Caenorhabditis elegans: one gene and its partners. The protein of the gene in region 1 purifies or fractionates together with the protein of each later gene. This does not show direct contact. Each region holds a gene or a part of one and is shown in the gene's direction. Other genes may lie near its edges.

Region 1 (10,399 bases):
GAATGGAAGTTCAGAAGGACCAGTCACCGAAGATGTCATTGAAAAAGCGATTCGATCGTTGGAAGATCCGATGCAACAAGATTTTATACGACAATGCCTCAGAAAAGATCCAGCTGAACGGCCTTCAGCAAGAGAACTTTTATTTCATCAGATACTTTTTGAGGTACGTGGATGCCATAAGATTTGCCAAAAAAAAAGCAAAAATGTGAAGTACCGTCTGTGAAAAAATGGTTTGAAACTATTTTTCTATGGATCTGAAATTACTAAATGCAAGAGTAAAACTTTTATTTGAAATTTATTATTTACAGTAAAAAAATTGACTATATTTTTAAAAGGTTTTGCCATAACGACCAAAAACAATTCTTTACAAAATTTTTAGATTCTAATTATGTTAAAATTAATTTTATCTAAAGCCGATGTGTACTCTAACATATAAAATTTCTATTCATTTCTCAAAAACTCAATTTTTTTTAAAAATTTGGTATTCTGCCAAAAAAAAAACCTTTAAAAAATTCCAAGTGTGGTAGTTGTATACTTCGCGAGTCAAAAAATTTCAAATACAAATTTCAATGACATTTTTTTCTGAAGCATAATTACCAAAATTTCAGGTTCACTCATTAAAATTGCTCTCTGCGCACGCAATTGTCGACTCGAAAAAGTATGAAGATGTTTCGGAAAGTGCATTCCGAATAAAAGACAATGAAACAGTAAGTTGAATCCCCACATAGACTAATGCGTTCTAAAAGTTATCGGGTAAATGGCCATATGAGGAGTTCGTTTTGTTGTTACTCTTTCCCCCCTCCACAAAAGTAAATATTTGATTCGTCGGTCACTTTGTCGGCGCTTCTCGGTTATCTACACTACCTTTTGATCGAATACAGTGAACTAAGTACATTAATTTAAACTACATTGTTTTTCAGATTGCTGCAACGTCGAAATTAAGAGAGATGGCTTATTGCCAAGTGGCCGCATTTCAAGTTGATCTAGAAAAATTTCTCGATGATGTTCGAAATGGAATTTATCCATTAACTGCATTTGCACCACTTGCACATCAACCATCTACAACATTACGGGCATATTCGAATGTATGAGATACAGAAAGAACTTGTGTAAATCTATGAAAATTATAGAGTTTTCAGACTAATCCATCGACTTTGATCACTACGGATATATCTGCTCCTTCATCAACGCATCCTTCAGCCAACTCAACAATCACTGCAGAAACATCAGTTAATACTAGTTTACCTGGTCAATCATCACAGCCAAGTGGTACAACAACTAATACAAATGGACCATCTTCCATCGGTAAATCAGCAAGTCCTGAAGCAGTTGATAAGAAAATCGGTGAAGTTACGAGTACGGAATCAACGAGTAAAGTCGAAGTTGAAGTCAATGGAGCAAATGTTACAATAGGATCATCAAATGGGCGTGATGCTGGATCACCGACTCCGGAAGAAGAAGGAGAACCAAATGGGGAGAGAGATATGCGGTTAGAAAATAGACACATTTTGGAGATCAATGTGCATATTGAAAATGAGTACGTTTCTTTTCTTTCAAAGTATACTTCCTGAATCAGTTCACCCTTTCCTGATAGAATTTTAAATAAGACCCGAAATTTGATGATTCGGGTCTCGACACGAAAAATTTAATGTTAAATGCGAAAAGGCGCGCGCCTTTAAAGAGTACTGTAGTTTTAAAACGTATTTGCTTCGGAATTACAATAGACTTTTCATAGTTTTTTGATGAAAAGTTTAAATATTTAAAAAATAAATATAAAAGTACAACAATTTAAATTTGGACAAAACCAAGATAAAAACTATGAAATTTTGATGAAAATTTTGTAGAAGTTTGAACGAAAGTTACTAACTTTGTATATTATATATTTTTCAAATACATAAATATATTTTTATCGGAAAACTATGAAAATCGATGGAAATTCCGAAGCAACTAGATTTTAAAACTACAGTATTCTTTAAAGGCACCCACTTTTCTGAATTTGCGAAAACAATTGTCGTGTCGAGACCGGGTATCGTATATTAGAGGAAAAAAGTGCAAAGTTCGCATCTGATGAAACCTGATGTAATTATTTACATTAACAAATTAATTTTCAGAGAAATGTCAATTGTTCTTCTATTAGAAGATCAAATGCATCGGCAATTAACAACGTCGATCAACAAGGGTGACAATCCAGAAACTTTGACTGAAAATCTGATTACACACGGTTTTATGTGTCAGGTGAGTGACTTTGTTGGCGTTCTCCCTTAAACTTTTCTTCTCTTCGCTCACTCTAAGTGGAGAATGCAGAAAAGGATAATCTGCTGATAGAGAGACTCTTACGGCTTTCTCAACAAATAAGGACACCGGCAAACACACTGCACGTTGGATGATGGGGGGGGGGGGGGGTGACCTTTTTTTCTTGGTCTATCGAGTTGCTCATAATGATGCTTATCCTCTATAGCGCTAGCGCACGCTGATGGTCACTCGACACATAGCTAACAAACATGCGCGTTGAAAATGATAATATGAGAAGAAGAGAGAATAAACCAAACACTTCAAAAAACACATAAATATCAAAACTTTAATTTCAGCTGGATTCGGAAGGAGTCGAAAAAGCAATTGCAGTGGCTTTTGATATTCGTGCTGCTCGTATTGCAGAAGGTGTTCAGGAAGAGGAGAATGAAACATCAACGAGGTAAATTTCAAAATGAAGTTTTGAAAAACTTTTTAAAAATTAATTTTTCAGAGAGTCAAACTCTGAGGCTCCAATTGAAAACGGTACTTCAAGCTCGATAACGAATTCGGTAAAACCAATTGTTGATTCGGTTGCTCCTTCATCTCAAACACCAACAACAACAACATCTTCCTAGTCTTCAATTTCTGTTTCCAATCATCTCCATCCCTCCATCCCTCCCCACATCCCCGTATTATATTTCCTGTTACAGTTTTTCTCTGTTTTTGTCCAGTTTCCTCTTGTTCCTTTAACCATTTCTGGTGATTAGATGGGGATCTTTTTCTATTAACTCTTTTCTCTTTGAATAGTTCAATATGGGTCAATCGGTATGTCTAGGTTCTCTTATTCACTAACTGCGAGAGCTCTGTGCGCATTTGTTTACCGAGAATTAACCATTTCGATATTGTGAGAGAGATCGCGCTCAAGAAAGATGGGACGACAGTTCCGCCCAGGAAGTAATAGAGCAACGACTGGGCGGGTCTCGGAGCCACCGCCGTGAGCACCACCAAGTCCATAGTCGACGGGTTGACGGTGACTGTGTGCTGTATAGAGGTTTGTCTGTTCGTGTTGACTGACTCTCGGCCCCTTCTAAGATATTTGGTAGTGGTATTTGCGGTCGTGCGAAGAGACGACGGACACGGTCAAACGCCCGACAAATCGTTTGTCCCCCCACTCACTCCCCCCATTATTCCCTATTGATCACTGTGATATAGCAGTTTTCAACAAACGATAAGCGAGCACAATGCTTAAATTAGCGGCTCTGTTGCTGCTTGCCGCTATCGCGGTCCGTGCCCAACACGGAACCGTAGGACGGCCTTGTGAGGTCTCCACAGATTGCGGAACCGGAAATTATTGTGCTGGAAATAAGCGATGTGCCTGTCTGACGACATATGTCGAGATTGATTCTTATTGCTGGAGAAGTAAGTATTTGATAAAATAAAGAGAAACGAGATTACTGTAGATCCCCATACTGATCACCTTCCCCCATTCTCGCTGTGCTAGCTTCTCGCCTTCTCGCTTTCTAACTTTAATTCACATTCTTCTTGTCGTTTTCATCATTATTCATATTTCACGTACATTTGTGTATTCATGTTGAATGCATGCGTTTTTTCATGTTAGGCACTTTTCCGTTTTTCCCCTTCATAGTCCCATCAAACTTTCATTTCAATTCTTCGTTTCCTTTTTATCTATGTGAAAATGGCATCGAAAACGTCTAGATTCCCTACAACGATTCCCGTAACACGGGCTCCAAAATTTCTAGGTTTTTACCCGATATCCGCCGTGAGTTGCTCGGGTCGTGCCAACTTCTAAAATGAGATCTCTTGGCACAACGAACCGAAAACTCCCGGCGTCTTCGTTCCCCATCCAGTTTGTTCTCCTAAGCTCATATCGTGGCCCCATCCCTTTAGACTTTCTTCTTTGTTTCTCACAATCTATATTCTTTTTATTTTGGCAAATACTATGTATGGCATTTTAAATTGTGATTCTATGTATCTTCCAACGAATAATGCCATACAAAGAATTTAGTATCCTGATTCGTTTTATCTCGCGCTGTTATCCTCGTCTCCCGTGTTTTTAGTATACCCTAGGTCCTTCTATTTTCTTCTCTTGTCAAAACGAAACATCCAGAACCAACACGGATGCTCATCAACATTATTTTTTATTGTTTCGTTTCATTGCTTATCGTCGTCGTTTTGCTGGGTTGTTGTTCTCCATCCTGGCGGGTTGCTCTTTTAACTTTTTTCTCCTCATCCGATTTTAGTTGTCGTTTCTGCAAAATTTGAGTCACAAAAATGCCACCAGCGCAAGCACACACACATATATAAGCCTAACTTATTTTGCCACCGACTGCTTTTCTCTTATTTTCTCTTTTCTTACCTTCCTTGTGAACCATTTTCTTCTTTGATGCATAAATAAATTATGAATTGATTATTCACTTTCTCAATCTTTCAAACTAACACCTAAATCGTTTTTTTGGTACATCAGTAAACGTTTTTAAGCAATTTGACCCTTTATGATACAGTTTTTACGAAACAATTTGTAACAAACAAATGTTGAAAAGTGAGGATTTAAACTCAATAAACTCGTTTCGCACGAAAAATAAATTTCCAATTTTCCATTTCTTGAGTCATAAGTGAAAACTGCAATGTAGTTGAAATTTTTACTAATTTTCTTCAATTGAAATGAAATAATATATTTAGAAATCAATCCGGGAGAGTCTGGATGTACACAAAATCGACAATGTGAAGCCGTTTGGCCAGGTGCATACTGTAGATCAGGAGAATGTCGATGTGCCAACAATCAACCACCATTCCGTACTCGTGATGGTCTTGTGTGTCTCAACTATGGATTCTGTCCACTTAACGGAAATAATCCAAAGTTCCGCATTGAAAACCAAGTTCAACAGTGCTACGGAGGAGCCGATGCCACGTGTGAAGCTATTGGAGCTCTTTCATACGATTGTATTTGTGATTCTGATGATTGTACCGTCAACAATCCTATCAGTTTCTGTTGTCCATCACGTGCATTTGCTTGTATTCAACCACCAAATGAAGGATACACTCCACCAGGTGGTGGTACTACTTTGAATCATTGGTACCATGACCCAATTACCGGAGAATGTAGAGAGCTCAAATATCAAGGATACGGTGGAAATGCCAACAACTTCCAGACAAAGGATCATTGCGAGTCTTACTGTAAACAAAGTGAGTTTATATTTATTGAATGAAATTATATGGTTAATTTGCGATGTATACATATAGCCTCAATGAGCACAGTAGACTCAGTTTAATAGTCTATATGTGAATCGTCCTACCACCATGCCAATAGTGTGAGGTTGCTGACGGACACATAGAAAATTAACCGTGTTTAACAACTTCCAATTTGAAAAAGTCAAATTCTACTTTAAAATTAAAACTGTTCAGCCTGTAACCGCGGTCTTCCATTGTATCGTGACCGTACAACTGGAGTCAAACAAGAGCCAGTTTATTGTCAAGGAAATGACAATGGATGTAACAACCCGAACTATCAATGTACAACCATGGGAACTCTTCAACAATGTTGTCCAACTTACTGTAAGTTTATGAGAGTTTACCGAATTTTGATATTAAGAGAATAAAACCTTTGAATATTCAAGATGGTACTTATTAATTTAAATTTTTAGTGTTCATCTGCTCTCGAAATGGAGGAATTCCATCAGAAGTCTACAATACAGCCGGAGGTCTACCAACCGAATACTTTGATGTCGGAATCCCAGATGGTTCTGGAAACACTTCGCCAAGATTCTACTACGATTCGCGAGAAGGACGTTGTATTCAATTCTCGTATCTCGGACAGGGAGGAAACTTTAACAACTTCCTTTCTCAAGATCACTGTGAGAAATTCTGCTCAAGAAGTAAGGAAACTGTTTTCTTTGAAGAATTTTAACTTTAAACATGTATATTTCAGTTCTCTGTTCTGCTGGAGAACCACTCAAGGATTCATCTGGAGAACGCAACATGGAATGCTCACCAACTGGTTCTGGAGCCAACTCATGTCCATCTACTCACTCCTGTGAGTCTACTTCTGGCTCAACTACTTTCGGAGGAGTCTGTTGTCCACGTCCGCAGTACGTGTGCAAGTTGCCAAGAGAACAAGGTAACTGTGGAACATATTCCAATCGTTGGTGGTTCAATGCTAAAACCGGAAACTGCGAAGAGTTTATCTATTCTGGATGTCAAGGAAATGCTAATAACTTCGAAACGTACAAAGAATGCCAAGATTACTGTAGAGATGCTCGCAGTGAGCCACAATGTATTCAAGGAACCGCTCTTACTGATTCCAACGGAAACTTCATTATCTGTGGAGGATCTTCAGCTGCTTCTACCACCTGTCCAGCTAATCATTACTGTTATTATGATGGAACCACCTATGGATGTTGTCCAACTCAAGCTTACACTTGTTCATTGTCTTACAAATCTGGAGCATCTTGTGGACCAGCTGTCACTCGTTGGTATTATGATTCTACAACTAGAACTTGTCAGACATACTCTTTCAATGGTTGTGATGGAAACTCTAATAACTTTGCCACTCAACAAGATTGTAAGGATTACTGTAGAGTTGAATCATGTCCAGATGGAGGAGAAGTATGGAAGGAGCAGAATGGAGCAGCACGTGCTTGTACAACTAACCGACAATGCCCATCTACTCATTACTGTACACCAGTTACCACATGGACTGGAACCGTTTACCAAACAAAGAGTCTCTGCTGTCCATCAAAGAATTTCGTATGCTCTCAACCACGTGACGTCGGAGTTAGATGTTCTAGCACAAGAATCTCCAGATGGTACTTCAATGCTGATTCAAAGACATGCCAAACATTTGAATATAATGGATGTGAAGGAAATCGCAATAACTTTGCTTCTCAAAAGTCTTGTCAAAACTATTGTCTTTCGGAAGCCTGTCCACCAGGAACTGTTGTTGCCAAGGATGGAGATGGAAGCAGACTTGTTCAATGCTCAAATCCAGGTGGAAATGGAAGAGTTTCCGGTGGTTGTCCCGATGGTTACACTTGTTATTCTTCACCACTTCTTGATCAGAATGTTTGCTGCGGAGCTTCGACTGAACTTCAATGTTAGTTTTTTTAATTACAGCTTCTTAAACATACTTTTTATCTTTCAAAATTCCAAAAATTAATTTCCAGCTCTCTGCCCTGCTGCTTCAACTCCATTCATTTCTGCTCTCTCACTTCAACCAATGCAATGTACTCCAAATGTTGATGGAGCTTGCCCTGGAAACTTCTTCTGCTGGTTCTCAACTACAACAACATCAGTCAATGCTTTCTACTGCTGCAGATCCCCAGACTCTGTTGATACAGGATGTAAGTATCTTCGAGTTAACCCTCATAATTTAGTCATTTTCTTTTAGACTGCCCACCACAACTTGTTCCTGTACCAGGAGAAAACGGAGCCCAGTACAAATACTGCTCTCCATCAGCTCCACTCAATGACGCCATCCAGGGTTGTGGAGCCAACAGACATTGCCAATTCTCCACTAATTTGGAAAGATATATCTGTTGTGGACTTGAGTCAGATGTTCGATTGCCGAATGTTTGCCCACCACAACCAGCTAATTTGGTTCCAGTCGAGTTGGCTGGAAACTATAGGACGTGCAATCCGTAAGTGAAATTTGATTTGAAAAATTGAATGGTTTTCAATTTTGTATAATTTTAGATATGCTCGTGCTGGAACTCCACAATCTTGTCCAGACAACTCAGCATGTCTTTACACGGGCAATGACAATGGATTCATCTGTTGCAGAGTTCAGTTGGGAAATGGAAAGAGTTAAACAAGAGCTCCGGGGTTCACGACTTTGTTCTCTAAAATTTCTAAATTCTTTCATTTATTTTTTGATGTTTTTTCTTGACTTTTTCGCCATCTCATTCCCACGTACATGTGTATTCCCCACCAAACAAATAATTTTTCTGCATAACTTACACTGTACGGTTGTCTGTTTTTCCTCTATCAATTGTTCATTTTCCTCTCATTGTTTTTCCATGTAACTGGAAAAAATCGATGCCAAAAAGAGCCTGAAAATCAGAAATCTATATTTTCAAAGTTCTGTTTTGACGTCAATCGTATTGCTATTTTTAGCTATGTTTTGAGTTTTCTTCTTTTGAAATAAAACGAAATTTCCAATTCTAAGTTTCCCATTATGTGAAATCAGAAGGCTGCCATGTTTAAAGTGTAAAAAGTTATTATTGAAAAGTTAAAATATCAAGATGGTTAGAAGATCATACTCAACTCGTGAGCATTTTTCTTATCTAGAAATGTTCCACTTTTACTTTGCTCAAGTAGAACTCTACTGGGGGAAAATTACAGAAATCGAAAATTTTTTTTGGTGCCCGCGTTTCCTTTTTCAAGACTTCGTGTACGAATTCATTCGTTTTTTAAAATGAATTTAGATTTTTTAAATTAGGTGTTGATTCAAATGTTTTTGAGAAAAACGATAACCATCACAATCATTTTTGAGAGGAGACCAGATTCAATCTACAGTACCCCGGCATTTTTCTAATTCAAGTTTATGTGGATTGGAAGGTTATTTTTATGGAAGTATAGAAATCATTTACCACTTCCAATGATTCATTTCCAATATAAACCAAAAATATAGACAACTTTGTCACAATAGAGATCGATGAAATAACAATATAAACAAAAAAACACCCATATTGTTCGAAAAAAGTTCTTCTCTGGCAATAAAGCTCAATTATTTCCTTGTCCAAATGACGGTAAGAGTTTTCCCTGTTCTCCAAGACGAAGATATGCCTGACGAATGTGATGTGGCTGGAGTGGTTCTTTTGCTTCTTTTTCATCCAAATCTCTGATATCAAGAGCTTCTTCAACAATTTCGCCAACCAACACTTTTGCCAATCCAGCTACTGCAATATCTACCTTTTTTCCAAGGTCAATTCCTCCAGTGAATTCATTGATAAGACGTTTGATTGTGGACTTTTTAAACGATGATCTGTAAAAATTAAGTTTTATACAAAGGAATTCCATGGCAATCTGTAATTCAAAAATGGAAAATCAACTCACTTTCTATAAACCTCGTATCGTTCAATTTGTTCTTGTGAGAAGTTGGCAACGAGAACTTGATTTTTCAATAGAATAATTTCCTTCTCTTCTTGCTCCAGAATTTGCCGTTTTGTGGGTGGGGGACCGGCTGGAATTTCCGGAGAAGCAGCTCTCATCGCGTTTTCTTTTTCTTTTTCCTCGCGTAATCTTTTTCTTCGCTGCTCTTCCTCCCGAACCTGAAAATTTGAAATTAGTTTTTTTTTTTTAAATATGGTCAAAGTTTTGACAAAATGCCAAACTAGATGAAAACTTTTGAAATAATTTTTTGAAATTTTTCAATTGGATTTTTGATCAGAAAATGTTCTATAGAAGTGATTTTGAACACCCCCTGGCGCTATTCAGCTTTCAATTAACATACAGATTCTTTGAAACAAGCAGTGAATTGACTAGTTCCCTGTCCGTCAACGATTTCTCTAATGGGCTTTCCGTTGTGCATCCAAAATGATTTAAAAACAATTGTAGAAGTATTATCATTTGGAAGATAGAAGACAACTTGAGGCTTGATTTGCGGCAGAAAAGACTGTTGAGTTATTGAGATGGTTTCCTCCATTTTGACGATAGGTTCTTCCTTCTTTTCCACAGACGGCGCAGTTTCCACGAGTATATCTTCTTTATCACTAGAACAAAAATATAATTTTAAACAAATCTTGAAAATGAAAAATGGGTACAGTAACCGAAGACTGCCACTATTTTTTTTTATTTTTAAACAACTGTGACGCAAATGAGATTTAACTGAAAACTAACTCTAGAGGTTCTGTCTCTGATGAAAATTATTCAAAATTAAGATGTGCCTGATTCTGGGATGTAAAAAAATTTTTCATGAAACTTTCTCGAACTGAAACAAAATGTCCACTTTTAGTGATAATTGAATTTGGTTAAAACTTTTAAAAGAGTGGAAGAGATTATACAAGTATTATCTTGCATGTTTTTACACTTGGTCTTTACCTCATTTTCAAATCTGCAAGTACATCCTTCTCACTTGGCATCTGTTGTGGCATGACACATTGTTCCTCTTCATCACTGCTTACACCTCCGAATAGGTCATTCGTATTCATTC
Region 2 (7,032 bases), 870 kb from region 1:
GCAGAAGCTCCCGCCGCCGCTCGCGTCGTCGCTCATCTTCGAAGGCACGTGGACGTCGTGCGTCGACTGCAAAGAAGACTCCTGCCAAAAGACGTAGCCGCAGCAGAAGCCAGCAGAAGGTGAAACGCTCGATGAGCCGTAAAGGTTGAACGGATTGAGAAAAATGAATAACTTGTGAAATAAATTGTATTGTGTGATTTGTGTTTTTTGTTGTTCAATCTTTCACAGGGAGATATATTTCCGATTTCAGTTGAAAGCATATCAGTCGTGTATGTTATACCACAAAATCGCTTTTCACCTAGCCACCGATTCCTTCTACCACAATTTTCGAATCAGAATTTTAAACTGAAACCAATAGTCATCCAGAAACTATCACCTTAATGGATTTTCCTAGCTAAGAAAACATGACTGATCTTGTTTTATGCTGTAACTCTGTTTAAGCTGGACTGGAAGAAGTCATTGCATGTAAGGTAGAGTCAGGTCTCAGCAGGCACGTTATATTTTGCTCAAGTGCGGTAGGTGGCCGGAGTTTCCGTACTTAAATGAGGAGTAATATTTTGACCCAAAATGTAAGCGCTTAACAAATTAACGAGTTTCGTAGTGCAACTTCTTGAAACAAATTTTAAAAAATATTTATGGTGGTTCAAAATTTCGATAAAAGGCCTAATCATTAGCTAAAACTTAAATTTTTCCAAACTTTTTAGGCAACCAATTTCGGTGATTTTTGTATAATCCCAATAAATATAATTTCAGCAAATTGTTCTTGTTGTTTCTGTTGGTTGTTTCTCCTTGTCAATAAATAATTTTTTTACGAATTGTAAATTAAAAATAAAATTTCTTAGAAGAAAACCGTGAGAAATAAATATGATTTTCAACTTTACGTGCTCTAAATTGATCAAACTCCGAGATAAAAGTAGAACAATCAATATTCCAACAAGAATTGGAAAATCAAATCACTTCAGTTTTTCAAACTGCTATCGACAACTACTTACAACTTCAATATCTACTAATTACTTGGTAAGTGCGGTGGACAGAAATTTCAGTTGTGATACAGATACTTTCAGAACTAGCCATGGGAAACAAAATGGCCCTTCCACAGAAGAAACAGGAGAAGCCCACTCACGCAGCAATGAAGATCGCAATGAAAAGCGGTCGACGCGGCATCGAGAACGCCAACAAGCTTCCGACAGTTGCACCAAAGCGACAGTGTCTTGTGCGCCTTCTCAAGATGAACAGGATTCATGATTACTTGCAGTTGGAGGTTTGTGAAAACTAAATTATCAGTTCATCCCTAGAAAGCAAAGAGTTCATCCCTAGAGAGCAAAGATGCGGAATTTATCTAACTCGAGGTCTTTAACACTTCATAAAGCCATAGCTTGTAGTAAATGTAGTTTGCAATCTATGACGTCATCATTACACGAACTTCAAATCGTTGTAGGGTTGGAGTAGTAGGATAGACGTAGAGAATTTTGTTTTGTTTATGTCAGTTGCGTAGGGATCCTATGACTGCAGTTAAATGGTTAACAGTTGTTTTCATTACAGAAAGAGTTCATCACTCGTCAAACAAGCCGTCATGGTCGCCCTCTTGCTGTCCAAAAACGTCGTGAACAGCAATTAGTTCAAAGTCTCCGAGGAACTCCAACCACATTGGCTCGTGTCCACGAGCTTTTCGATGATGAGAAGCATGCCGTTGTGGTCGTTGAAGGTTCGAGACGTGAATGGTACGTACCAATTCTCTCGATCGTCGACAAGGACTTGCTTCGTCTGAATGCCCTCGTCATGGTGAAGGCTGGTGGAATGTTCAAAACAGTTCCAAGTGCAATCGTTGGAGTTTTGGATGACAAGATTGACAGCAATGCGATGGGACATAAAGTTGAGAAGACACCAAAAGAGACATTCGATGACATTGGAGGATGTGAGAGTCAAATTCAAGAGCTGAAAGAGTCTGTGGAACTTCCTCTTACTCATCCAGAGTACTATGAAGAAATGGGAATCACTGCTCCGAAAGGAGTTATTCTTTACGGTGAACCTGGAACTGGAAAGACGCTTTTGGCGAAAGCAGTTGCAAACTCAACATCTGCAACATTCATCCGTGCAACTGGATCCGATCTTGTTCAGAAACAAAGTGGGGAAGGTGCTCGTCTTGTTCGTCAAATCTTCCAAATGGCAAAGGAACAGGCTCCATCGATTGTATTCATTGATGAAATTGATGCAGTTGGTACGAAAAGATTTGATACTTCTTCACGTGGAGAACAAGAAGTTCAACGAACTCTTCTTGAGCTCTTAAATCAATTGGACGGGTTTGAAAGCCGTGGAGATGTCAAAATTATCATGGCAACGAACAGAATCGACTCGCTGGATCCCGCTCTTATCCGTCCTGGACGAATTGATAGAAAGATTGAGTTACCAAAACCAGATGAGAAGACTAGACAAAAGATTTTCACGGTTAGTCAATTCAACATTTCTTAAATAATTTTTATTTTTAGATCCACACCTCTGGAATGACGATTCAGAAAGCTGTCACCTATGAGAATGTATTGGGAAAGGAGAAGAGCATTAGTGGAGCTGAAATCAAGGCGGTTTGCACGGAAGCTGGTATGCTGGCTCTTCGTGCTCAACGAAAATGTGTCGGAACGGATGACTTTGAGAAGGCTGTCAAATCGGTTATGCTGTCGAAGAAGGGCGGAGCACCAGAAGGATTCTTCTCTTGACAATCGGAAATTCAATAAAGTACAAACGAGTTTACCCTAATGAACCTTTCTTCTCTTACAATGCCAGTGCAGATGTTTTTATGAACATCTGTAGTTAATTTCTTTGGTCTTTCTATGACCATAGACTGTTTGTTTTCGTAGTTTCTTTCCCTTCCAGAGCCTCAATTTGAAGAATTATGTTAACTTGATCCGAGGCGTTTTGAATACCGATCTCGAGTATAAATATTTTATTGTTTCAATGTGTTACTGTTTAACACAAGATGAGATTTGTCGTATACACTCAAATAGATACAAAAATAAATATCCAAATTTGTTTAAAAAATTTCAAACTCATTGAGCTCGCCAAGTTTCTTGAAAAAATTGTTTACGTACAGTTTTAAAAATTATAAAATTATTAAATACCACCATAACCAAGAAACGTGATATTTTCTGAGATGGCCAAAACTATTAAAAATCGATTTTTTAAAAGTCAGTTCTAATTTTTGGAGTCAATATCGTCCCAATGGTAGCATCAAATAGAAGACAATCGAGGTTTGCAGAATCATTGTTTTCATCTAAAAAAAACTACATTTTTCAGTTCAGATTCAATACCTTCAAATCAAAAATCACACAGCTCTAACCATCACACTTCTAATAGGTGAGTATAACTACAATCCACAGAAGAAAATTAGTTTGTAACCCACATGCTCGACATTTCGCTCCGTGCGATTGAAAGCTGGGAAATCGCGAAAATCTGCGACGATCTACGATAGCATGCGAAGAAATGCGCGGAAAATTCGAAACTAGGGGTAACCCGCAAAGATGTGCGACAATGTGCGAGAAAAAGCTGAAGCAAAATGTCGAGTTTCTGTATTATCTACACCAGGAAAATATAAAGACGACAGAATAGCTGTCAAATCTTCTCAAACAATACCCACTGCTTCACCACTGTCAATCCAAACTGCAATAGTCTTTCAGCGATGGAATGCAAACTCACACGGATCGACTTATTAATAAATTTATAAAGAGGCAAATGGAAAAATCTTCACCAGAAACTCAACATCTTGTCAGAAAGCAATCTATTTTAAAATTTGTTGAACGAAAGTCTAGAGCGGAAAGACCGAAGCCAACGAAATTACGAACAATTTTGAGAAAGATTCGAAGTGAGGATTTGGTTTATATTCTGCTTAAAGTAATGTTTCAAATTTCAGAATTTAATACAATAATTGCATTTGTGGTTCTTGTTGCATATATAATTGGTGGAGCTCTCTTGTTTTGGCAGATTGAATCGAGATCTGATATGAATGTTTGTAAAGCTTTTGTTTCTGTTGCAGATATATATTCATTGATAATATTTTCAGATTAATGAGTTCAAAAGAAATATTCGTCAGAAATCAATACACATCTACAATTCAATGAAAGGTAGCAAGTGTGGAAAATTGAAAAAGGTTTGTGAAAGTATTTCTGCATCTCTTTCAATTGAGCATACCCGGAAAACGCCTCGATACAATTTTCATCTATTTCAGGCAGATAATGAGTTGAACAACAATTGTATAAAAGAAATTTTTGACCTACTCTACGCTTCAAACCCTCCAAAGCATATAGAAGAGTTTCTGGATGGGCTGGCTTATGTAATCACTTGTATTACGACAATAGGTATGACTCGGGATTAACAAGTAAAATAGTATCAAAACTGATTTCGAACATTTTGAAAAATATTTTTAAAATTTTCTCCCGAGGTGTCGTCTAATCATTCTATTTTCTATTTCAGGGTACGGCGAACTTGTCTGTCACACAATTGCCGGTAAATTGGTTACTGTAGCTTATGGTATTATAGGAATTGCTCTAACACTCTACGTACTTCGCAACAATGGAAAAATAACGTTGAAAATATGCAATTTGACACTCAAAATTTTTGCAATTTGCGTTCGAAAATGGTAATTTAACATTTAAACATAAATAACCTCTTCTCAACTTTCCATATAAAATCTTTATTTGAGTTCATTATTTAGTTTTCAGTGGCAAAAAGTCGGCAAAGTATAAGATGACAGTACTGAAAGCTTTTATTCTTCTTGTCACATTTTGGGGCTTCGGAGCACTTGCAATTGCTGTCTATGAGGAGTTTGTATTCTATGATGCCTTGTACTTTTCTTTCAGTACATTTTCAACTATTGGATTTGGAGATTTTGTTCCGTCAGGTCATATCTCTGGAACTATTATTTGTGTATTACACTTTATCGATTTATCACTGATTTCAATGGTTTTAGTTCTCGTTCATGTAAGCTGTGAAGATTCCCTTGTAAGAAACCAAGTGTCTAAAGTTTACAAATTTCAGCATTCGATGGAAAACAGATTTATGAGAGTTTTGGAGCTCTTCGATGAACGGCATGCTACCGACACTTTAGAAACAAATATGATATCACCTGGTGCTTCTCAACGGAAACTTGCTGCAACGACTACAGCGAAGGAATGATTTCGATCCAGTGATCATAATTGATATCAGATTATTCTCAAAATTTAAAATATCTCTTTGCTTATTACAATTTTTATTGATATTCTTTTTGTGGTTTAATTCTTATTCTTTTTCGTCATTAAGAGAATGAAGAAATTACAAAAAGCTTCTTTTTTTGCACAATGAAAGGAAAAAAAAACTGCCCATTTAGAGATTTAATCCGGTAAAGGCTTGACAGAGGCGCCTCACACCCGCCTTTTTATTTGACCTCCCAGCGCCGTACCTATAACCTCATGTGCAATTTCTCGTTACGGAGTTAATTTTAGTAGCGCATTCGTGAATAACCTATTTGGTAATTGAATTTTTAATCTCTCAAACAACGGTGTTTGTGGCTAGTTAAAAAAAATTTATTGTTCTTTTCTTTCTGAAAATTATTTTCCAGGAATACGTGCAGCTCACGCAAATACCGTCATTTGTGAAAACGCAATCATTAATTATCAAACAATTTATTTTCGATTATCATTTGTGAAAGTTTTCCCATGAAAACAATGAATCTCGTCTATTTGATACTTGTCTCGTTTCTACCCTCATCAGCCTTCGTCAGCTGCTCATTTACCAAGTCTGGAAAACAAATTCTTCAACAAATTTTTGAAGGCGATAAAGACAATCACACCAAGTTCAACAAGTTTCAAGAACTTTTCAAAAATTTCGAAGGCAATTTCAGCTTTTTTTTAAATGAAAATGTCACTTTACGATATGTTTTCAGATGATAGTTTTTGTATCAATTCGCTCGGAAATATTGGCAAATCTGCATTGAAATTTCTGTCTGAATGCTCATCTAACACGTGCCTCGAGCCAAACTGGGCTGTCCGTCTTATTGATTCACTTCCAACAAAACCACCAGGTCTTTCACGTAAAGGACCATTCTTCTTCATCGGAGATTTTGAAACATGTAAAGAACTATGGTCGGTAGAACATCGGCAAGTACATTATTGCACTTTGAAAGGAACGGTGAAACTTGGCAGCGAAACTCTTCCAGTTACAACAGGTTCCGTTTTTATTGTTTTTTGCTCCGTTTTATAATCTTTTCACTGTAGGAGTCTGCCTTCCATCAAATTGCCATGAAAATCAAATGAGTAAGTTGCTGAATTTGGCGAAGGAGTACTTGTTCAATGAGACGATCCACGTGGATTCAGTTTATTGTTCGCATGGCACCGACAGTACTTGGAGTGTTAAGAAAGTATATTTTGATATATTTTAATTCTAAAAGAATGTTTCTATTTTCAGCCATTTGTACTTTTCTCATTATTCTTTATCCTGGCTTTGTTGACTATCGGAACGTTAACTGAAAAAATGAATCGAGACGGACTGATCAAGAAAAGTAATACGAAAATGAGAAGAATGATTCATAAAAGTGAGTGACATCAAGCTTTAAAAAAAGTGTTAAGCAAAAACCACAGCTGCAGATCTATTAACATCAACCTGAATTTTTTAAGAATCGTTTGATGTCACTCGTTCGTCAGCTGTCTCTATCAGTGAGGACCGTTCAGACCGTGAATCTTGTGGATTCGACTCTTCAGGAGAGAGCGAAGATAATGAGTCACTTGCGAATTCTTCAGTCAACCGTCAGTTTGCTCCATCAATTGCTCTAACCTACCGAACCCTGGCGACTATCTCACTATCGAATTCTTTACTCGTCAACATTTTGTCTGCATTCTCCGTCCGTTCAAGTTTGACATACTTGTTCCGTAATTCAACAAGAGACGTGAAACTGGTCAACCTTTTCCGTGTATGCAGCTCTTTTTGGGTCATATTCTCTCATACTTGTCTATTTTCTTTACATTTCACGGATACAATCAGAAGTGTTGCAAGGAAAGGAGAAAGTGTGGT
Region 3 (6,477 bases), on another chromosome or scaffold:
TCCATGGTTTGTCGACTATTCGAGCATACCGAAAAGAAAACGAGATGATTGAAAAGTTTTGCGCTCTTCATGTAAGTTTCGAATACATTTTATTTTACAAAGTACAATTTTAATATATTGCCAAACTTTTGAGAATGTTAAAAATTTACTAATCTATGTTAAGTCGAGCCCGATTGAGCTCAGAGCAAGTCAAAGGTTTTTTCGCCGCACATCCCTGATCGGAATACTAAATTTAGCTGATTTTAACGTTGCTCAAGGCCATTAGTGACTACAAGAACGACATCCTATCCTAAAACACTACTCGGAAAAACCCTAAGAATTTTTCTTAGAAAGAAGAACCCCTAAAATCTCCTAGAAGAGTGGAAACGACAACCTAGAAAAGATCCTCTAAGACCCACCCTATAGGAAATACCCCCTAAAAACACCTAGGTAAGACCCCCCTCCCTAACGCCAGAGCCCATTTCTCGAACGAACTATTTTAAAATTTGACCTTTTCACAGGATGTTTATATGGCCGCGTACAACATGGGACTTTTGTCCGCCCGTTGGTTCGGAATTTGCATCGACTTTTTGGTGTCTGTTTTCGTTTCCATTGTGGCGATTGTTGTTGTTCTTCAATATGGTAAGTCAACACAGTAACGTTTATCCACCGCGTCCATCGTATCTTATTTCAAAACAACACTCCGAGATTTTTAGAAACCCTGACCGTCGGAGAAGTCGGATTGTGCCTTGTGTGCGCGGTTCAGTTGAGTGGATTCTTCTCGTGGATCATGCGGCAAAGCGCCGAGCTGGAGAACGGGGTGAGTTTATTTTTTGCTTGTTTCTTTTTTTATCGCGGGAGATTCCTCCAATTTGCTCCCCCTTCTCCTCCTCCTGCTCCGCCATCAAAGGTCGAATTGAGCTCACTATGCGGTTGGCGAAACATCATGATTATAAAGAGTTTTGGACAATGCTCAAGCGCGAACTGCCCTGATCAGACGATTGAAGTGGTTTGTCGCATTTTCCACACACACACACACACACACATCACAACAAACACAAATGGAATGTTTGTCATGGTGGCGCCAAATGAGCGACCCACCCGAAACTCTCAATTCGGTCTTTTATTCTAAATGAATACAATGTGAACACAGCAAATGTTGCAAATGAAGACAATACAAACATAGTAGTATGCGGATTGAATTCAAACTGTCGATTTGCAGATGGTTTCCGTGGAACGAGTGCTAGAGTACACCAAATTGAAATCTGAAGAAGAAGCCAGAAGACCACATGATGCATACCTCGATAAACAGCTACTGAACTCTTGGCCAACGAAAGGAGAAATCGAGTTTGAAAATGTATCTGTCAATTATGGGGAGACCAAAGTACTCAAAAATCTTAGCTTTGTTGTTTTAGGTGGACAAAAGGTGAGTTACTAACTTTTTGTTCAGAGTATTACTTCTGAAACTTAGATTGGAGTCGTCGGCCGAACTGGTGCTGGTAAATCAACACTCATTAAAATTATTTTTGGACTGAAAGAGTACTGCTCTGGACGTGTCACTATCGACGGTGTGGATCTGGATCACATTAGTCTTAACTTCAGAAGAGGAGGAATGTCTATCATTCCGCAGGAGCCCGTAATCTTTTCAGGAACGGTCCGGGAGAATTTGGACCCGTTCGATGAGTATGATGATGCTACTATTTGGTTTGCGTTAGAGCAGGTATGGCTTTAATTTATTGAAGAATAACATGTGAGAATGAAATTTTTATAAGCCATTTTTATGGCCCCTATAATCTTGTTTTAACACCATTGGCTTTACAAATTTTATTGAAAAAGTAAAATGTTGACTGGGCAAAGATTGAGCAAGACTTGGACAAGACATAAGCAAGACTTGAGGAAGACTTGGACATGACCCCTCCCAAGTCTGATCCAACTTTTTCTCATATTTTAACCAAGTTCAAACTTCACCTCACCGTAGCCCTAGTTTTGTCCTATGTGTGCCTAAATCTGATCCAACGGTCTAATTTAATACGAGATTCCGAAATTCATATGAAATCGAAATTTTTAATAGATTCTGTAGGATAATCGTTGAAAAAATTTTCAGTGTGAGCTTAAACGTTCCATCACAAAAGAAAAAGGATTGAACGTCGAATTGGGCCAACGGGGAGTCAGCCTGTCTGTCGGTCAGCGTCAACTTTTCTGTCTTGCCCGAGCAATGATCCACCGATCCAAAATTCTTGTTATTGATGAAGCAACCGCAAATGTTGATGGAGTGACAGATGCTTGCATCCAGAAAACAATTCGAGACTTTTTCAAAAACGCCACAATCATCACGGTGGCCCACCGTCTTCACACCATTATGAACAGCGATAATGTAATGGTAAGTGGTTTCTCAACAAGCAAACAATGCCTAGGTTCGCAACTTGCAGGTGTTTGAAAAAGGAGAGCTCGTCGAGTTTGACAAACCGATCACTTTGCTGGATGATCAGAGCTCGCTGTTTTCAAGAATGGCTGCTCAATCAGGGGCTGAAAATTTTGACTCCCTTCGGGCGGCTGCATTGGCCCATGCAATCGATGATCAGTCATCGTATACGGATAATAGTTAAAGTTTCATTAAATTTCCATGTTTTCTAAATATTCAAATCATAACTTGTTTCACTTTCACATCATTTTATAGCAATTCAATTGTTCAATGTCACCTTTTCAAAGGGAATCGAGATTGTTTTTATTTCACTTTTTATTCCATCATTCCATTGAGCACAATAATTCCTTGTTCATACCATGATCTAAGATCATTTCGGTTTTGGCCCAGTGATCGCATCGTCCACATCGTGTAGCTTTATATGTGTCGAATTTAATTTTTCTTTGGTAATATCAGCAATTTTGTTCTGTGGTTTTTTTCTGACTTTCATGATTCTAATCGAAACATGTATTTCATGCAAGCTATTCTTTTCTCCATCCCCCTCATTTTTTTCCAATAAAGAAACTCTGTTATTTTTCTGTTTTTATTTTGTGCTCTGTGTTTGCACTGTCCCATGGAAATAAGCAGACCATTTCTGTGACGAGTGTCTGATAAAAACTTGTCAAGAGTGAGGAAGAGAGCCGTCTAGAAAGCAATGAGCAAATCTTCAAATGCCAAAAATGGCAATCTCGAGTGCTTCACCATTTGCTCTAATTAGAAATTGATCGAGCGACAAATGCGGGCTCTCGAGTGATTTGGCGGAGCTTTGGAACCAGGTGCGAATCGCGTTTTTGTCGGACTTTCAAGAACGCCCCACATGTTGGGCGCTCTACAAAAAAAGACGGTCAGGTATATAAAGCACAGAAAACAGCAGAACAGAGCGCACCCGTCGACCTCCCGCTAGCACCTGAGGCAATTCAAAAACCAACCCGCACCTTTTCGTGCGTCGAGTGCTCTATTCAATTTGCACTCATCTGTGTTTTATTCTAAACATTCGATACACCCAGGTTGCGGCCAGTTCCAAAAAAGTTTCCAAGTGAAGATTTCAACAAAAATTCTGTTAACGATGAATTTCCGTTTTATTCTACTATTCTTAATATTCCCTTTTGTTTTTGCAAGTTTAGAAGAATTTGAGCAAGATAGCGCTGAAATTAAAAAAGAAGTGGTATTTTTTTGTTTACTTGTGTTTGTTTTGATTTAGTTTATTTTTTAGCCTGCTCGTTTTCGATCTTTCAAAAACTTTGGTAGCCATCAAGATGCCAGTAATCAAGCTGCAGAAGTAGCTGGCTCGAACGAAGATAACACTGATGACCCTGAAGTTGCACCGGATGCTCCATACCTTATGGCAGATTCTTCTCTAGAACAAGAAGAAGAATGCGTTGCTCTTCCGAATCGAACACGAGTTCGTCCGTCGTTTTTCCAGTGTAAAGAAGGTACAGTACTTCTAGTAAAACAGAGCCCTAAATACCAAAAATTGTAGACACAAAGTTTGAACTTCACGGCGGTGCAATTACAAACGGCAACGGTGATGATACCTACCCGGTTTCCTTCAACTCGCCTATTCGAATTTTCCTCGACATCACCAGTAATTCTAACAAACGATATGACAATTTGGGCGTCGAAGTGTCAATCTTTAAACGTTCAACCGGATGGTTCGGATGTGGGTGGATGTTTTTACCAAGCTTTGGGCTGTTGTAAGTTGTTTTCTTTGCAGAACACCGAAAAACATTGAATGTTTTTTTAAGGAGCAACTATGATATGTGTGACGACAACCCGTCATGTCCGGTGACTCCGGGACGTCAGGTTATCGAATTCGAGATTGATCCAACAAAGTTGTTTACGAATCTGTTCCGAATGATTCACTATGACTTGGTGGGTACTGACCATAAGGTAAACGCGATGGCTATTGTACTGGAGAGCCGTTGACGGACGCTTAGCAAATACGTTTTTTTTTCTTAAATTGAAATATTAAAAAGAAATCCACTTCTTCAGTATACTTCAATTTTTCAGTCCGCCTACCAAATGATGGTTCGAGTCCGAGACAATCGAGATCCCTACCGAGAGTTGCTTTGTGCTACGATCCAAACTAGAATCACACTCTGAGACCAAGACACTTTTTATTTATTTATTACCAAGATCCTTATCAGCAGTATTTATGAACGATAACCGGGACGCAACCCAATTAATTTAATTCCCCTTCCCTACCTTCTCCCCCAGTGAACACCAGAACCAAGTGGTTTCTATTCATCCAGTTGTTTATGATTATGACTCTCTGTTACAGGTTATCAAAAAATGAATAATATAGTATATTCTGTTTTGATATGTGGGAATGGTCTGGAACAACTAAGGTGCATGTGTGAATAACAAGAATTGAAAATCACATGGGATCCGGCTTTCGTTAGATCTCTGTTTTGACACATGTTTATCTCGAGTAATAACGCTGAAAATTCCATAATTCCATAATCATTCTGCTGAGAGAGTAAATTAATTTCTTGCTACTCAGCGGAGAAAACTTCCAGAGGAATTAATTAGTCAAAAAGAAAAACAACAAACAAATAATATTTGTTGAGTAATGTACACTACTTGCAAAACTTTTGTCGACCAATGAGCATCAAATGCAATATGTTAAGCGATTAACATTAACGAAACTTTAAAAAATATGTATATAAACCTGATCGTTGAGAAAAAAGTAAATAACACCGGGGAAAGTGCGCGGGAATGGTGATAATGAAGTGGAAGCGTTGTTCGGGATAAGACCAGTAGCTGGAATGCAGTCTAGTATAAGAAACCTTTTGCTAACCTTTTACACAATAAATAATTAGTGCACTGGCATTTTGGAAAGATGGGAACGCTGAGGACAACAATAGATACGGTAATAACTTATGTGAGAGAAGTAAATAATTTTAGGTTACAAAGATTGCGGAATGTTCTGAGAAACTCTGATAATGCAGATAATAAAAAGCTTCGGTACAATATAAAAACACAATAAAATAAGTCAAAATAAAAGATTGAATATGAAAATCTGGTTTCAAAGTACTTTGACTATGATCAATATTTGTTTAATTTTTATTGATTAATATTAGATCTTCTCGGCATTTGGCTTCAACTTCTCGCTCAAGTTTGACCCTAAAAATATTAACTTGGACAAAAGTTGGGCGGGACTTTGGCAGAACTTGGATTCAGGCTGGGCTAAAGCTTATCCGAAGTTTGACCCAACTCTAGCCAAACTTTGGCCCAAAATTTTCTTGTTTCGTTTTAAACTTGGGTAGATGTTTGGCAAGAGTTGAGTCAAACATGGGTTTGGTGCTGCCAAAATCCAAGTTGCAGTTGCATATTGGTGTAACCTCCAAGTTTTGCCAAGGTCATGCACAACTTTTGCCTATTTTTAGTTTTTGTTTTCTGAGTAAGCTCAAAGGCAAAGTAACCCTACTGGGGAAATAAGTAAAAACCATACATTTTGTTTAAAAATTTCCAAATATCATAGTTAAACTCTTCACAATTTTTTTGAAATCTTTTTATTTCTATTAACTGTCATAGAATGTTAACACAGATTTTTGAAAGTCGTCAATCAGAAAAATGATCCTTCGACTTTAATGGACTTATTTTTCATATATTAATACTCTAACACTTTAGGAATTCCAACCTGCGACAGTTTTCTCAAAAAGTGACACAAACTCAGTAATTGACACTATTTGAATGTCAATAAAACGTTTTTCATCACTTCTTGAAATGTTTTTTGGCCATTTTTGGCATTATAGGAGGTTTTAATAATTTTCCTCGCTGGCGCAACTACAGCTTCAATGAAAACTTTCATACTTTGGAGTAAAGTGTTACGCTTTGTAAAAAAAATAGCATATGTACAGTTTTTTCTACTTAAATGAAATGTAAGACGTATTTTTAATGCTTTATATTTGAAACAGACCTTTTCTAACTGAGTGAAACTGTCAAACTTAAAAAAAGCTTGACTCGAGCAAAAATTTGAGGAGCTCAAATCTAAGCTTTTTCAATGATTGTTCAAAGTTTGACCAGTCTTACCC

Evidence for each region. The genes of interacting proteins can lie anywhere in the genome.
Region 2: the proteins of K10D3.4 (region 1) and twk-37 fractionate together in Caenorhabditis elegans (co-fractionation; one large-scale study listed by BioGRID). This does not show direct contact.
Region 3: the proteins of K10D3.4 (region 1) and ZK470.6 fractionate together in Caenorhabditis elegans (co-fractionation; one large-scale study listed by BioGRID). This does not show direct contact.

Annotation. Positions count from the first base shown.
Region 1 is NC_003279.8:7,132,746-7,143,144, reverse strand, and holds K10D3.4 (BPTI/Kunitz inhibitor domain-containing protein), read left to right. Parts: upstream 1-3,171; 5' UTR 3,172-3,473; coding exon 3,474-3,651; exon of another isoform or gene 3,652-4,663; intron 4,664-4,932; coding exon 4,933-5,436; intron 5,437-5,655; coding exon 5,656-5,805; intron 5,806-5,894; coding exon 5,895-6,125; intron 6,126-6,178; coding exon 6,179-7,342; intron 7,343-7,412; coding exon 7,413-7,589; intron 7,590-7,636; coding exon 7,637-7,886; intron 7,887-7,941; coding exon 7,942-8,056; 3' UTR 8,057-8,407; downstream 8,408-10,399. Other genes in the region: hpo-11 (Protein kinase domain-containing protein), read left to right, coding at 1-163, 609-707, 921-1,085, 1,140-1,537, 2,112-2,235, 2,589-2,692, 2,744-2,867; taf-11.2 (Transcription initiation factor TFIID subunit 11), read right to left, coding at 8,971-9,232, 9,304-9,518, 9,701-9,959, 10,288-10,397.
Region 2 is NC_003279.8:6,267,692-6,274,723, reverse strand, and holds twk-37 (Potassium channel domain-containing protein), read left to right. Parts: upstream 1-3,190; 5' UTR 3,191-3,213; coding exon 3,214-3,242; intron 3,243-3,288; coding exon 3,289-3,348; intron 3,349-3,668; coding exon 3,669-3,853; intron 3,854-3,901; coding exon 3,902-3,996; intron 3,997-4,051; coding exon 4,052-4,138; intron 4,139-4,216; coding exon 4,217-4,346; intron 4,347-4,461; coding exon 4,462-4,627; intron 4,628-4,709; coding exon 4,710-4,968; intron 4,969-5,025; coding exon 5,026-5,163; 3' UTR 5,164-5,304; downstream 5,305-7,032. Other genes in the region: spch-2 (SPerm CHromatin enriched), read left to right, coding at 1-149; C10G11.8 (AAA+ ATPase domain-containing protein), read left to right, coding at 1,073-1,261, 1,543-2,445, 2,487-2,711; oac-9 (Nose resistant-to-fluoxetine protein N-terminal domain-containing protein), read left to right, coding at 5,691-5,856, 5,909-6,190, 6,240-6,382, 6,430-6,556, 6,639-7,032.
Region 3 is NC_003284.9:4,174,337-4,180,813, reverse strand, and holds ZK470.6 (MD-2-related lipid-recognition domain-containing protein), read left to right. Parts: upstream 1-3,506; coding exon 3,507-3,605; intron 3,606-3,653; coding exon 3,654-3,873; intron 3,874-3,920; coding exon 3,921-4,134; intron 4,135-4,185; coding exon 4,186-4,330; intron 4,331-4,450; coding exon 4,451-4,543; 3' UTR 4,544-4,749; downstream 4,750-6,477. Other genes in the region: mrp-6 (Multidrug resistance-associated protein lethal(2)03659), read left to right, coding at 1-71, 501-621, 696-799, 1,202-1,405, 1,451-1,699, 2,084-2,359, 2,409-2,585.